Tamandua tetradactyla: one gene and its partner. The protein of the gene in region 2 interacts with the protein of the main gene of each other region in a pairwise test. Links are inferred from orthologs where the notes say so. Each region holds a gene or a part of one and is shown on either strand. Other genes may lie near its edges.

Region 1 (8,287 bases), on a different chromosome or scaffold from region 2:
CTCTACCCCGTAATTATTAACAGTGCCTTCCAACATGAAAAAGTTAGAATGGCCACAGTTCAAATACTCCTTGAGAGGGGGATGGAAAGATCGTAGGTGACGGTGGAGTTATACAGAGAAGGTACAGTTTAACAAATGAATAAGACTGCTGAATCACTAAATTGATTTTTCTTTTAGTCTTCAGTATCTTAGAGCAGCTAGAAGTAAAAACTTAAAATTGTGGAACTGTAACCCATATCAAACTCTGAAATCTGTTCTATAACTAATTGTTCTGCTGTGCTTTGAAATTTATTGGTTTTTTGTACATGCTATTTTTCACGAAAAAGAAAAAAAAGTAGATTGTGATAATAAAGTATTTATTTCTTCTAGCCTCCTATGTTCTGGAGCAGCTAGAAGGAAAAATCTGAGATGATGGTATGGTGGACCATGACAAACTCTGGGATCTGTCCTATAACTACCTGTTGAAGACTGCTTTGAAAACTATTGCTTTTTCCTTTTTTTGCTTTGTACGTATGCTATATTATACAATAAAAAAAGTTTAAAAAGAAAAAAAAAGGCACACCCTAAACAATCCATAGTAGATCCAGTCTCTATCAGATCCTGTTTCATTTTCTTCCCGGCACTTACCACTACCTGAATTTATTCTGTTTATGTCTCCTCACAACAGAGGGCATGCTCCATGAAGGCAGAGTGCTACCTTCACTGATGAATCCCAAAGACCAAGAACATTACCTAAAACATAAAACATTCAATAAATACACACTGAATGACTAAATACTAATGTAGTACCTCTACTTAAAATTTAAGTTCAGGGTGCACGGGTGGTTCAATGGTAGAATGCTTGTCTTCCATGCAGGAGATCCGGGTTCAATTCCCGGACTATGCACCCCCCAAAAAAATTAAGTTCAGCTCAGAATTTGTTTATAAACATGTAGTTCACTCCTCATGCAATGGTACATATCAAGCATCTGCGGAAAACAGGGCCAGTTGTTACCAAGAATCTCTAGGATGCACAAGACAAAGAACAGAGGTATAAAACATCCAAATGCAATTCTGGACTTTTACTGAACAATGATTACAAGTTTCTGAAAGAAAAAACATTCAGGATGATATTAAAGAACATTACTAGGAGTAATATTTGAGGACCCTATTAATGAAGGCTGTTAGAGCATGAGTAGTATCTGCAATAGGACAGTAGTTTCATGTGGAACAACAAACACGGCTTCATCCTAAGTATTTTTCTGATATATATACATAATATGAAGGAATTTATACTCTGAGCATAGAATTTCCTTCTGGGGATTTGATTGTGATGAATACAACAATATATACCAAAAACACCTAACCTTAAAACAAATCTAATAAAGAGATTAGAGAAAACCAGAATTATCTGTCCCAAATTTCTCTTTTTAACAATTGAGAGTGATCTGAAGCCAACAAAGATTAGCAAAACAGTCAAAGGTCTAATGGATAGCAAAACCAGATGTAAAAATCCTGATCTACTGTCTCTCGTCCTATATTCTTTCATAAGACACTGTCCTCTGAGAATAGTGACGTCATTATAATGTATTTTAATTGTTATTATTTTTAGGACTGTCATTTTTTTTTTTCCTATTCGAAGTCTTAGTCCATAGTAATCTTTGATTACTTAGTCCTTAATCAAAGTAAGGGCACATATTATTATGCCTTAAGTAAAATTTGGTTCAATTCAATAAATTTTTCATTCCACATGTTAAAATGTGAGTAAAAATGAAAATAATTCTATTTAAGCGCATTCACTAAAAATTTCTTAGCTTTAGATGTTAAATTGCTGTTCTCTTGTTTTAAATATGAGTATAGCTATTTCCCAATCAGGCGGAAAAATTGAGAATAGACTTACTACCAAAGTGAAAGTCACCAAATCTAGAAATTTCAAGTTATAACCTCTACATAATAAATTTTTCATCAAAACATATTATTTGGATAATACCTTTCTCCAAGATCTAACAGTTTTTAGTGAAAGAATTATGTGGCCAAAAAACACCAAACAAAAGGGAAAAGGTAACAGAAGAAAAAGGATCTACCTAAGACAGAAACTCTACTCTTAAAATTTACCAACAATATTGTTCAAGCCAATTGAAAAACATCCCTCACCAATTCTTAGAATACTACTACAAATATTAAGCGGCAAACAAAAAAATGACCAAGCAGAGATGATAAAGTCATTTGTCCAAGGTTAAATGGCAAGACAGTGTTAGGAACCAAATAAAGGCTTTGTAAAAAAAAAAAAAAAAAAAATCCTATTCAAGACTCTTTTCAGGGTAAAGGGGTTGCTTTCTTCCTATCCCATCTGGTTTGTCCCACAAACGTAGACAAAGACTACTATTTAGTATGAAAAACAACATGTTTTATGTTGACATGAAAATTTTTAGTAAGGATTGTAAACTATAGAAACGTAGATCTTCATCTCTAATTAAGCCAGGTAAAACCCGTATTGTAGAGCTTCTAGGTAACATCAAAATCACATTCTAGCATATGAATGCAATGACATAAAAGACAAAAATGGCAAAGGCTAAGATAAGGTAAGGCAACATTAGGCTTATCTTTTCCCCATCCTGTACTTTTTGGTTGAAGAGGCCCGTAAAACAAGAAAAGTATAAAATATCAAGCGAAATAAACTTTGAAGTCAGGTTGAAAAGCAGTAAGAACTCATATAAAACGAAGCCTATGTCAGCTTGTATCTTATCACTCAAGAGTTCTAAATTCATAGTGCACGTAAACCAAGAAACAGGAAAGCTTACAACAGTGCAGTGGAGTCACCCCATACTACAAACACCAACAAAATAAATGAACACCCTATACTTCCTGGTATTTTTTAAACGTTAAAAATTACCCTTGCTTTAAGAAGCATCTGCAAAAATCTACCAAAACCTATTTTAAAACTATTGTGGGAAAATCTCTCATCCTGCAATACAGAATAGGTATGTCCACTATAGCACAGCTACTGACTCTGGTAAATTATCTAAGGGCAATAATAAAAAAAATCAAGCTTCTTTTTTAATGATCTACAAGTCAACTCCACACAAATATCTGACGCGTCTGTATTTCGGCTGTTCCACGGACTATGTTTCCTTGATCTCACAAGAAGGCAACTCCCTAATCGGCAGGGTTGACCTAGCGCCCTCCAACTCCCTCAGTCCAGGTTACCTTCATCACTCCATTGTCAAATTGTACTCTCACGCCTCAGTCAAGAGCCCCCATCATAAGACTAGGGAGAGTCAAAAAAGGAAAGAAATCCCCTCATCCATACTCCCTTACTCTGGGGTGTGGGTGTGTCTGTACACATACGCTTTGCCCGAATCCAAACTCAGACCCCAGGCCACCATCCCGCGGGCAACAACCCGCCGGTCGCCGACCCCAGCCGCAGCCCTTCCTCTTTCTCGCCTCCTGGGCAGCCCCTCCCCCGATGCGCGCACGCGCGGCCTCCAATCGATCCCCTCCCCCCGGCCCCTCACCTTAGTCATTAGCCACCCTCTTCCCAGGGTCCGGGAATCACTGGCCCAGGAAAGAAGACAGGAGATGTGAGGGGGGAAGGGAATGCGTCGAGAGCTAGCGATCCGCGACTCAGATCTCGGCCTAAATAGGCCCCTGTAGCCAAGAGCAGCGTCTGTCACCGCCACCAAAACTGTAAGACCGGCAATGCCTGGGCTCGGCCCAGTCAACCCGGCTTGGGTTTAGAATGCCTGATTTCGCCCCAGAGAAACTCCTTCTCCAAAGATGCGGGCGTTTCTATGCTGCGCAAATCGAGGACCTCGATACCATCGCCGCCACTGCTGCTGCTCCACTACCGCTGCCGCCGCCGCCTAACCAATCCCTCCTCTACAGAACGAGAACGACACTTGGGTCCTTTACGACAGTTCGGAAAGTGAGAGCGCAATAGCCTTCACGGCTCCATTAATAGCGCTTGTTTCTGCGCTTGCTCAGATTCTTGTTTCCCACTGTCCCGCCCCCTTGCCCCGCCCCTCCCCCTTTGTAATCACTTTACCAGTCTGTTGGCGAAACCGAACGTGTCACAAAGCTCATTATTTTATTTTCCTTGGTGATTGTGTGTTCAATACCTAGGTAAATTTTTTACTACCTCTTTGATAAATCTTTTGTAACTAAAAATTGGACTAGCCACAAAATTATTGACTATACCTACGGTACACTTAAAAACAGCATGGTTTGGTGTCTTTCACGACCCGTGATATCCAAATCATCCGCGCTAATGGCATAAAGACCACGCACAGCACCTCACTGTGCGAATTATTAAGGCGAATTTGTTTCCGGAATCAGATTAACAGTGGTAATAAACGTCCTGGGAACCTGGCTGTAGCTGTACAATCACATAAGCCTTTTTATTTAATTATCTTATAAAATGAATAGATAGCACATGCTTCATTATGTGCACTTGGAGGATGTAGGGAAAGAGCACCAACTTAGAGTCAATCAGACAGACTTCCCCTTCAAATTTCAATGATGCCACTTAACAGCTGTTTGGTTTATTAAATATTTGTAAATCTTAGTTTCCTTCGTTATAAATTGGGATAGCATTATTTACCTCAAAGGGTTCGTGTGAGATTAAATGAGACAGTTTAATTAATGTCCCTAATATTACTTACCAGTTAAATGTTCAATAAACATTAATTCCTTTGCCATCAACTCATCTTTCTCAATACCCTTTCCTTTGTTCACTCATGTTGTCCATATTGCTCAGTGAAGATATCTTTAAAAAAGGGGGGGGCAGCAGATGTGTAGGGAAACTAGAAGAGCAATGGACTAGGATTCTTCCTTAATCCTCTTATTTTCTCACTCTAAATACACATTTTTGTCTGAACTTTGAAAATTTTTTCAAATGTGAACAAAAATACACATTTTTGTCTAAATACAACTATTTAGTTTAGTTGTCTGAACTAAAACATGGTTTTAACTGTTAATGCCTCATGATTTCTCCAACCCATATGTACAGCCCTAATCTTTCATCTAAAGCTTTAGACCTGCACTCTCTAATATGGCTGTTGAACTCTTAAAATTGATCTAGTACAAACTGAAAAGTGCTGTAAGTGGAAATTTTACATCCAATTCCACGATGTAAAGTAGATTATTTTTAGAAGACTGTAAAATATCCCACTAATTTCTTATAATGAGTACATGTTGAAATAATATTTTGGATATGCTGGGTTAAATCAGTGGTTCTCAACTGGGAACAATCCTTGCTCACCACTCTCCACTCCCATCCACCCCACCCCCACATCATTTGGCAATGTTGGACATTTTCTGTTTGTCACAACCAGGGGAGATTGAGGGGAATGCAACTAACATCTAGTGGGTAGAGGCTAGGGATGCTGCTATGCATTCTGTAATTCACAGGGCAGCCCCCCAAAACAAATTATCATCTGGTCCAAAATGTCAGTAGTAACCAGATTGAGAAATCTTAATGGTTTAGAAAAGATTGAGCAATGAAGTTAGACAGAGACAAGTATCTTTTCATGAAATTGATAGTAAATGGAAGAATAAAGACAGACACATCTAACAGAATATGGAGTCAGAGAGGCACGATTTGAATCCTATTGGCCTGCTTAAGGGAAAGAGCCAGTAGAAAAGAGAGGTGAAAGATAATAGAAATAAAGGAATGCTCAAAGGAGAAAAATCCCTATAGAGGCAGAGAAACGGGATTCAAAGCTCAGGTGGAAGAATTAGCCATGAATGGAAGGGCCACCCCTTCCACTGAGACAGTTTAGTTTTGGGGGGCAAATTGAGGGCTTTCGGATAGATTGACCTTGATTTTCTCTATGAAACATGAGGTAAGGCCATCTGCTAAGATTTCACGTTTGGAAATGGCTGAGTGGTCAGATGAAGACAGGGAAGACAGTAAGTATATGGGCAACAAATCAAGGGCAGGAAACCCAGAGTAGAAACACAGTAAGACTATGAGAGAACAGGTGCCAAAAAGTTGTATTTAGAGATATAATAGCTAATTGTAGGGGTCAGAGATATCGCTAATCTGAAATGGACACAATATTTTCCTGATTTCTCTGTTTCTGCTCCTTCCATTATCACCAAATGAACTACAGACCATTGTCAAAATGTTGGAAAAACTGATCAAGACACTAATTTGCTTAAAATCCTTCAGGAACCCTCTGTCTTCTTTAGAATACAGTCCTAAATAGCTTGCCAAATAAAGTATTCAAAATCTAAAATCTCACTGCCATTTCACATCACCGCTGTCACCAGCCTACACTCCTGCCCTTACTTATACTTGAGCAGACTTTTCAGACTTCCTGTAGATCTTAGAAAAAATGTACTGTTTCATTTCCCGCTGCCTTTGTACTGACCGTTCTTTCTGCATCAAAGCACTCTACCCCATTCCTCTTCATCCCCCACCTGCTTTATCTGCCTAGCAAACTCTTATCCATTCCTCAAAACCCTCCCCCATGAAATAGGAACACTCATACACTGTTAGTGGGAATATAAAGTGCAGTCACTGTGAAAAACAGTTTGCAGTTCCTCAGATTGTTAAAAACAGTACTACCATATGGCCTGGTAATCCCACTTATAGGTATATACCACAAAAGAATTGAAAGCAAGGACTTGAGTAAATATTTGCACTCTGATGTTGATAGCAGCATTATTCACAATTTCCAAAAAAATCTGTGTCCTACAACAGATGAATAATAATTCATCTAATCATGAATAGTATATTTTAAAAGTGTAATATATACATTCAATGGAACATTATTCAACCATAAAAAATGAAGTTCTGATGCATGCAGCAACATGGATGAACGTTTAAGACATCATCATGCTAAGTTAAATAAGCCAGTTACAAAAGGACAAATATTATATGATCTCATTGATTTGAAATAATTAGAATACGCAGATTCATAGTTTCAGAAATTACCATACAGGAGACGGAGTCCAAAGTGAGAGTGGAGAATGGGGAGTTAATGATTAATTGGTAGAGTTTCTGTTTGGATTGATAGAAAAGCTCGGTAAAAAATGGTGGGGACGGTAGTACAACTTTGTGAATGTAATTAACACCACTGAATTGTATATTTGAAAGTGGTTAAAATGGAAAATTTGAGTTTGTTTATATGTTAAAAAATAAAAAATTTTAAAAAACTCATAGAACTGTACAACACAAAGAGTGAACCCTAAAGAAAACTGTGGACTATAGTTAATAGTATAAGCATAATAATGTCTCATCAGCTGTAACAAAGGTACCACACTAATGCAAATGCTAATAAGGAAAACTGTGTGGGAGTGTATATAGGAAGTTTTTACTTTTTGCCTGATTTTTTTGTAAACCTAAAACTGATCTAATAAAAAAAAATTATTTTAAGTGAAACAAAAAAGTCTGTGGCAATGGTGACACAGTGGCAGAGTTCTCGCCTACCATGCTGGAGACCAGGCTTCGATTCGCAGTGCCTGCCCATGAAAAAAAAAAAAAAAGTCCTTCTCCATGAAGCATTTCCTTGCCACTTTCCCCACCCTGAGGTAGTTAATAATCACTCCCAGTCCCATACCCTCTTCAATCTTGGTATATCCTTCTATTGTAAACAGTATAAATTTTATATACAACTGTCTCTTCCAAAAAAAACTAAAACCAAGAAAATTTGTCTTTTTATCCTTGTAGAAGAAGAGCACTCAATAAATTTTTTAATGAACTGAACAAGGAGACCGGGGTTCAGTTTTGCCACTAAAAAACTAGGAATCCTTCATTTTAATTAAATCATTTGAACTCTCTGAAAATTAATTTTACTCATCTGTGGAAAGATCAGGGGGATCCAACACATTCTTCAAACCAAATTTTGCCTACCTGACATGCAGCAAAATAATATTTACCAAATTAGCCTGCATACAGGGAGTGACAATGCCTAACTACCTGTTACGCAGGAATTTGAGGAGTTGGGTCCAAACGTGAAAATGCTAAGCTGAATTAATGGGTCACCTGCAATAAAAGGATAAAAGGACAATTTTTACAAATCACTTATATCAAAAGGGAGGATTGGTATCCCCACCATCCACTGCAAACTTCAAAACTGTATAAAGTTTGCAAGTTAGGGCAACTTACTATGTTGCCAGCTTTGTGAACTCTTTGGAAGAACATGAAGCAAAGTTTGCAGATTTAACGCAATGAGTTAAGTGAATCTTGAGAACTTGTTGAAATATTTCCCCCGATGAAAAGCTTTGGGAGGAATTAAAACGGATGTACTAGCCAGAACCCTTAGTGATTCACAACATTCTACTTTATTATCAAGATACTAAG
Region 2 (7,885 bases):
CGTATCAGCTTAGAGAGAGAGAGGCCACATCTGAGCAACAAAAGAGGTTCTCTGGAAGTGACTCTTAGGCCTAATTTTAAGGAGGCTTAGCCTATCCTTTGTGGGGCTAAGTTTCCTAGGGACGAACCCCAAGTTCAAGGGCTCAGCCTATTGATTTGGTTGTCCCCACTGCTTGCGAGAATATCAGAAAGTCTCCAGATGGGGAAGTTGTATATTTCCCCTTTTCTCCCCATTCCCTCAAGGGGACTCTGCAACTACTCATTTATTCACTGAGTATTTATCAGGGCATCACACCAACCTGGACAAACCAACAAAATCTCATGCCCTATTCAAGATTCCCAGTACTTACGGTGCTAACTAAACTGACCACACAAGTTAAATTAGGAAATACACTACCGAAAGTATAAATTTTGCACCAAAATAAACATCTCTACCTTTAGTCTCATATAGAAGTTGAAGTTTTAAAATATGGACGATAGAACCCCTTACCCCGTCTTCTGATATACCTTAGTCCTATCCAGATGAGCTCCATTCATCTCTCTACTCGATGTCTGATGACTTTTTTAACTTTTTAAACAGTTCCTGTATGTGGTACTGCTGACCTTCACAGCTTCAGAGCTCTCACTGAGTCTCAAGTGTCACATAAATACTCAAAGTTTCTGGACGACCAGTTACATACAAACAGCTCAGTATCTCAGATTTCAGAGTTGCATAGTGGCATTTTTTACAATTGCCCAAAGATAGAAGCAACCAAAGTGTCCCTCAAGAGATGGCTGGATACATAGGGATGACAGTTACATAAAATGGAACATTCTTCATCTGTAGAAAGGAATGAAGTCCTGGGGATGCAACTACATGGATGCAAGTTGAAGACAGCGTGTTGTGGGAAATGAGCCAGACAACAAAAGGACAAATATTGTATGAGCTCACTGACACGGAATAATTAGATTGAGCAAGCCCCTAGAATCAGAAACCAGAATGCAGGCTCCCGGGGGGGGGGGGGGGGGATGGGATGGAGAGCTGTACAGAGTTTCTAGTCCGGACAATAGGGAAGTTTGGCCATGGAAGTTGGTGTTGGCAGTAGCACCCCATGATTACCAGCCCTGGATTCCACATTTGAAGGTGGTTAAAAGGAGGAAACGTTAGGTTGTATGTAAGTTGTTAGAATAATAATGGAAACACAAACGACATAGGACTGTCCGATGTTCACAAGCAGTGAACCTTCATGGAAATTATGGACTATAGTTAATGGGACAATTATAACATTGTTTCATCGGCTGTAACAAAAGCACCACATTAATGCAAGGTGTTAAAAATCGGGAAACTGGTGTGTGTAGGGGGGGAGGATGTTCGGAGACTGTATTTTCCGTGTTATTTTTCTGTAAATCCACAACTTCTCTAGTAATATATACGGAAAACAAATTTTTAAAAAGTCACTTAGAAATTAAAAACAAAAACAAGCAAGCTCCCTGAGACAGGCTCACGCAGGAGGGTTTGCAGAAGGGTTCATTATTTTCCACTCATGACGGATCCACTCCCGTGGACTCCTCAGCTCTGCCAGGAGCAGGGCTAGAGACCGCCCTCCTCCACCCGGGCCTGCGCGCACCGGCCGCTCCGCCTCTGCACCGCCCTGGCCCGCCCGGCGGGGACGCCCCCGGGACCGAGCGGGAGCGCAGGGCCGAGGGCCCGGGGAGGGGCTGAGACGCTCCCCTCGGGCTAGAGGGCTTCCCGGGGAGATAGAGGGGGGCTTGGAAGGGCAACTCCGGAGGACAGGAGCAGGAGCACGGCTGGGTCTGGGGTCTCGGCTCCTTGCGGGCTGGGCTGCCGCGCGGGGGGAACCTCCCAAGTCAGGGTGGGGGCCCAGGGAGGCTGGGGGAGGGGCCGCCCCTCTCGGCCCCTCCCCCAGCGTTAGGTTGGGGGCCCTGCTCCTTCTTTCAACAGATTCTCTCCAGAGCCCTGGGAAGGCGGGATCTGAGGAGATGGCTGCTCCCCAGCTCAGGAGCCCCTCCCCAGCTGCCTTCCTGCGCACCTGCCCCCGCCCCTCTTGCCCACCTGCCTCCTCTGCACACCTGCCCCCCGCCCCTCCTGCACACCTGCACCCCTCCCATCCCCCTGCCTGCGCACCTGCTCCCGGCCCCTCCCCCACCTGCACACCTGCTCCCCACCCCCACCCTGCGCACCTGCTCCCCGCCCCTTGGGCCCCATCTGGGACTCATGCCCAGACCCTAGGCTCAGGAAAGAGGTCCTCTCAGGCCCCGACATGCACCAGGGGGACCAGGTGCCCAGGGCCTCCTCTCGGGCCCCCTCCTGTGCCCCTGCACCCACCCGCAGCGTCCCTTTCCTCTGCCTGTGCCCTCTGATGCCTGGGAGATGAGAATCTTGGGGTCCACGCCCTCCTCCGCCTGCAAGCCCTGGGGCAGGAGGAGTTTTGGGCTGGAGAGCTGCTGGCTCTGGGCAGCCTGCCCCAGGCGCGGTCCTCACTGTTCCACAGCAAGGCTGACGGATGGGGTGCTGCCAGGTCTAAGAACTCAACATACTGGTGCCCAGTGAAGTCAGAATTCCAGATAAACAAAGATAACGTCTTTGTTTAAGTGGGTCTCTGTAACTTCTGGGATGCACTCATACTAAAGAGATATTCACTGTTCATCTGAAATTCCAATCTCACCGGACATCCGGTATTTTCTCTGACGACCCTAACCCCTACGGGGCCCTAATACATACGGGGCAATAGTCCCGGGGCCCTAACACATACGGGCCTACCCGGGAAGCCGGGGAAAGGCGGCAGATAGCCTCGGGGTGAGTCCGACCCTGCCACCGGAGGCGTGTAAGAGGCTGCCCAGGGGCTTCCTGGATCTCCCACCTCCCCGGACCTGCTTCCCATTGGATGGGACGCTGGCACCCACTGCCGTCCTCACAGCCCCTCGGGCCTTCCCAAGTGGACAGAGGCTTGGGGTCCAGAGCTGCTCCCAGAACCCTCAGCCGTCCACGCTGACTGCCCTGTGCCTGACACCTGGGGACGAGGGTGTCTCACAGGGTCCCAGGGACCATCTTGCGTCTCTAAAGACAGACGTCGAGACAGACGTCGGGGCCACCGCTCTTGGACCTCTTCCCGCTGCCAGGTCCTCCCATGATTGAGTGTGCCCTGTCCACGCTGCCACAGGAGCTCCCAGGGCTCAGGGCCCAGGTCTCCTTCACCCCCTGGCATCCTCTCACTAAGCACAGACACGGAGCTGGGGACCCGACTCGCCTTCCCTGCTCCACAACCTTCCATAGCTCCCCATGGCCCTGGGAATCAGGACCCTGCAATTACAACCAGTCTGCCTTGTCAAACAGCACCCCCGTTACCCTCAAGGCCCCCAACCTGGCCCGTGCTACCCACTCCGCGCCCCACGGCTGCGCCCGGCCCACTTAGGCCCTGGTCTCTCCTTCGTCCAGCAGTGGCTCTCTGCTGGGTACCTTCCGCGCGTAGCCCTGTGCTAAGCTCCTGACATCCTCCCATGGAAGACGTGCAGTCCACAACCCCCACGGCAGCTTAGCCCGGCGGCCATGTGCTCCCCCGGGCATGTGTTTACAAGTCCGATTCCCGACCACATGGGGCTGGGGGAGAAGTGCAGACATGCACGAAGCTGGGGGCCCGCGGCTGGGCCTGCCCCTCCCGCCCAGGGGAGGCAGCGTCCCCGGCCAGGCTGTGCTCGGTCAGCGCGGGCCACCGGCGTGAGCTGCCCCGGGGAGCTCTGAGGCTGCGAGGGACGTGGAAGGCCCACCTGCTCACAGGGCCGGCCGCTTGGCACCACCCCAGCCCCTCTGCAGGCCCGGCCGCCACTGAACCCACCCAGGCCCCCCTCCGTCCTCACTGGACTCCCCGGAGTCACAGGTGCCGGGGGCACAGGGACTTCACCCCGGGGCGCCCCGGGCACTGGTGCCTGCGGGCATGAGGTGTGGGTCACCGACTAGGCCCTGCCTCGGGGAAGCCGCGGCCTCGGCACCACGGGCTCGGGGGAGGGGACCGGAAGGAGAGAAAGAAGGAGGGAGGGAGAAGTCCCTCCCCGCGGCCCAGCGAGCCCCTCCGCACGGGCGCCCCGCCCTCCCCCCGGCTCCCCTCCTCCCAGGGCCGGCCCCCGGCTAGGGAGCGTCCGCAGTTCTCCTCCGTCGGTGCCGCCAACTTTCGGCCTTCTGTACGGCGTCAGCCCATTGGGTGGATTCAAGGGACGCCCCGCCCCGGGCCCCGCGGTGGCCAATTGTAAGGACTTTGACAGGGAGCTGAACTTGGGGGAGCGGCACCGGTCTGCGATGCTTCGGGACGGCCTTAGGCCTCGGTGGTTCCTGCTCCCCGGACCCGGGCGCTGACCTCAAGGAGACCTCCGGGACCGGCGCCCGGAGAGGTGTCCACCGGGCATCCGGGGAGCCCTTGGCGGTCTCTGTCCCGCGTTTCCCCCTCAGCTCGTCGGCGCGTCCGCCCGTGGACGCGCACCTCCAGAAAGGGAGTTTGTCGACGCTCCCTGGTTTGCGGGACGCGGCTCCTTTAAGGGGGCAGGTGTCCAGAGTGCGGCCTGACTGGAAGTTCGTACTCCTCCCGGGCTCCCAGGCCCGGCGCGAAGCGCGAGCGCGCGGCGGCGGGACACGGGCAGCAGGCGGCGCGGGGCGGGCAGCGGCGGTGGCGCTGCTGGGCGGCGGCGGCGGCGCACGGGGCAGGCGCGCGGCGGGCAGCCCGGCGCCAGGCCCCGCCCCGCGCGCCCCGCCCGCGCCGGGGTCCTCGGAGGTGCTCGGGCTGCGCGCGGAGCGGGCTCCGGAGGGAAGTCCCGAGACAAAGGGAAGCGCCGCCGCCGCCGCCCGCCGCCCGCGCCCGCTCGGCTCCTCCGCCTCGTCGCGACGCTCACCGGGGCCGCGGCCGCCCGAGGTGAGCGCGGGCCGCGCGCGGGGCGGGGCGGGCGCGCCGGGGCCGCCGCCGGGCCGGCCGGGCCTGGCCTGGGCCGCGGGGGCCGGGCAGGCCTCGGCGGGGGCCGGGCGGGGGCTCGCCGGGGCTCGGCGCCCTCTCACCTCTGTGCAGGGCCGGACGGAGGGTCCGCCGCGCCGAGAAACTTCGTCCCGCCTCCTTCGGGGGAGCGGCTGCGGCGCGGAGTCGCTGTCGGGCAAGCTTCCCCGAGCCCCGGCGTCCCCTCGGCCTTGCGGCTGCGGTCTCACCGCTTTCCCTCTCTGCCCTCGCGGGCTCGGCAGCGGCTCGGGGATGCCCCTGGGTGCTCGGGAGAGCGAAGAGGAGCCCGCAGCTCCGGCGTTGGGAGAGCGGAGCACGGAGCTGCCGGGAAGGCGAAGCGGCAGGACGTCCACCCCAACACGGAGCTTTCGACGGCCGAAGGGGAATTCATTTCTGGGGCCACAGGGCCGGACGACAGACCTGCAGCACTTTGCAGCCGCGGAGCGAAGCCGACAGCAGAGTTGAGAGCCTGGGATTGCTAAAAACGCTGGCTCTTGGGGAGCGGGGTCGGTTTGGTTCTGATGTCTTCATCAAAACAAGTCTCCGTTTTCTTGGTAAAAAGACGTTCTGTGTGAAGCCGATGGATCACGCCGAAGATTAGCTCTGCACTTGACGGAGAGTTCTGTTTTATATTTAAAGTTGCTTTGTGCTGATTGTATGGGGTTGAAAGTAGTAGTTAACCTGAGTGAGAAGGTGAGAGGAGTCGTTGGCGCGGAGCATGGTCCGCGGTCACCGCAGGATCCCTGTATTAACTTGTTTCGTCTTTATCATCCTAAGTTATGTTCAGTTCCTTAGTTTGCAAAGTTACTGTGACTTTTCCCTCCCTTTTGAAGATGATAGCTTTAAATGTTTCTCGTTATACAGAAAACGTTGCCTTTATTTAAAGAACCTACCCAACAGAAAACAGAAATCTGGCTTAAGTCCGTTGTGGTTTGCTTACAGAGAGATTCGTTTGCTCTAGCCCTTTTGAGTGGTGATGGGGTGAATTCTGCCTTCTTGTGTGCCTTTGCTGGCTGGGGTGGAGTCTTGGGACCTTGCTTCAGAAACAGGGGTGATGGGGGGAGCATGGAGGAGGTGCGGGCAGGGTGACAGGGTCTGCTCAGTGCAGGTCGCGTGGGGTTTGCAGAGTTGTGCCCCGCCTTGTTCCAGAGGGTGTCCCAAGCATACAGGCGCCTGTGCTTCCTTCAGTTATCAGTTCATCCTCTCCAGCCTTCCAAGGCCACAGGACTATCACCCTTCCTGCAGATGAGTACATTGAGGTTCGGGGCGATAAATGTCTTGCCCACGCACACACAGCAAGTGAGTCGGCTCTGAAGTCCGTGCCCTCAGCTGGCAGAGTTGATGAAAGGTGCACCCCTCCTGGAGCCCCGGAAGAAGTGGGGGCAGGCTGTACCTCACTGCCCTGCCCAGCGAGCACCTGGCCTTGTCCGGGGGTGGGGAGGGTGTGCTTTGCGGGTTTCCAGCACCTTATAGTTTGTAGGGTTTTATTTTCTTTGGCTTTGCATCATCTAACGTTCCTTCTCTGAAGCACCTGATAGCACTTGACTGCTCAGCCAGTGCCTCTCATTTCTGAAGGTAGATTGAGATGTGGAAGCTTATCATCGAAATGTAACAAGTTGACTGTTTTCTCCTGGAGGAGAGACTGGTAGGAACAGGAGGCTGCCTGGGACAGACACCTGTGGCTCCTTACCCTAATGGCCAAAACATTCTTTCTGGTGTCTGATCTGGTCTGTCAAGGTGGGCAAAGGTGAAACAGATTGTCCTCCCTCACAGGGGGGCTGCAGGGGTCCTATACGACCAGCCCCTGGTGTGAGGGTGCTCCAGGGCACAGGACATTTCAGAAGCAGCCAGCTTAGGACCGTGGCTCTGGTAGGCTCTAACGAGGCCAGGGCCTCGGTTGGAGCTCTGTTCCTTGTCAAATCAGAAGAGGGGCTTGAGGTGGGGTCCCAGCACAAGGTCGGCGGGCAGGTGGCCCTAGAGAGCATCCTGTTGGCTTCTCCCATGTGCCTGCCTTGGGCCCAGTCCCTCCAGAACAAACTGAATGTCCTTTTGCCCCCTTACAGTGTCTGTGGCTCCCTTAAGGACCCACCTGGCCTGGATGATAGCTTAGAGGCGGCTGGTCTTCCCTCACCCAAGTTCTGAGCGTATTAACTGAGCAGATGCCAGTGCTCTCTGCTCTGTGCTGGTGCTGGATGGGGAGCAAGCTGCAGAGGCCTTCCCATGAGCTCCTGTCTTCAGGGCACCTGCATGGGCAGGCAGAGTGGGGAGGCTGGGCATGCAGTGCCCCTGTGCACAGGGTCTGGGAGAAAGGGGCACCCCCAGCAGGGTGGACATGCACTCCAGCTGGCCCTTGGAGGCACCTCGGGTTTCAGCCTGCGGAGGAGCTGGGTCATTCTCTTCCCCAGAAGAACCAGCTGAGGGAAGGGTTTTTAGACACTGGGTTATGGCCATAGCCCCTGGCCAGTCAGCTTACCTGCCTCTGCTACACACCTTTGTCAATTTTCAGCACAGAGGGAGCCACAGAAACATAAGTGGGTTCCAGCTCTCCTCTGACCAAAACCCCCTAAAGGCTTCACACCAGGACTTAAGACCTTTCCCATCCTTTCTGCCCGTGCCCCCACCCTGCTAAGAAGCTCTGCACTGGCTGTTCTTACCTGGAACAGCCTCCCAGATGCCAACCTGACTTTGCTTAGCTGTACCCAGTGGCCCACCTAATCCCTTGTAAAACTTGCAGTCCTTCTACCAGCCCCTTCTCTCTGTCCCACCCCCCACCCCCCTCTCTGTCCCCTCAACCCCCGCTCCCGCATACTGTGAGACTCCCTGTCTCCTGCACATGTGAATTCCAGGAGCAGTGGTGCTTGTCTCCTCAGTGGCCACACTACTTTGCAGGGTTAGGGGCAAAGTAGTATCTGT

Evidence for each region.
Region 1: the proteins of UBE2I (region 2) and RNF111 interact in binary tests that used the Homo sapiens proteins (3 or more experiments, as listed by UniProt). The link is inferred for Tamandua tetradactyla from reciprocal best matches to the Homo sapiens genes UBE2I and RNF111.

Annotation. Positions count from the first base shown.
Region 1 is NC_135340.1:74,777,894-74,786,180, reverse strand, and holds the start of RNF111 (E3 ubiquitin-protein ligase Arkadia), read right to left. Parts: upstream 3,400-8,287; 5' UTR 3,366-3,399; coding exon 3,298-3,365; intron 733-3,297; exon of another isoform or gene 675-732; coding exon of another isoform or gene 634-674; exon of another isoform or gene 628-633; intron 1-627. UniProt on the Homo sapiens protein: E3 ubiquitin-protein ligase. Required for mesoderm patterning during embryonic development. Acts as an enhancer of the transcriptional responses of the SMAD2/SMAD3 effectors, which are activated downstream of BMP.
Region 2 is NC_135349.1:56,132,938-56,140,822, reverse strand, and holds the start of UBE2I (SUMO-conjugating enzyme UBC9), read left to right. Parts: upstream 1-4,290; 5' UTR 4,291-4,382; intron 4,383-4,831; exon of another isoform or gene 4,832-4,897; intron 4,898-7,885. UniProt on the Homo sapiens protein: Accepts the ubiquitin-like proteins SUMO1, SUMO2, SUMO3, SUMO4 and SUMO1P1/SUMO5 from the UBLE1A-UBLE1B E1 complex and catalyzes their covalent attachment to other proteins with the help of an E3 ligase such as RANBP2, CBX4 and ZNF451.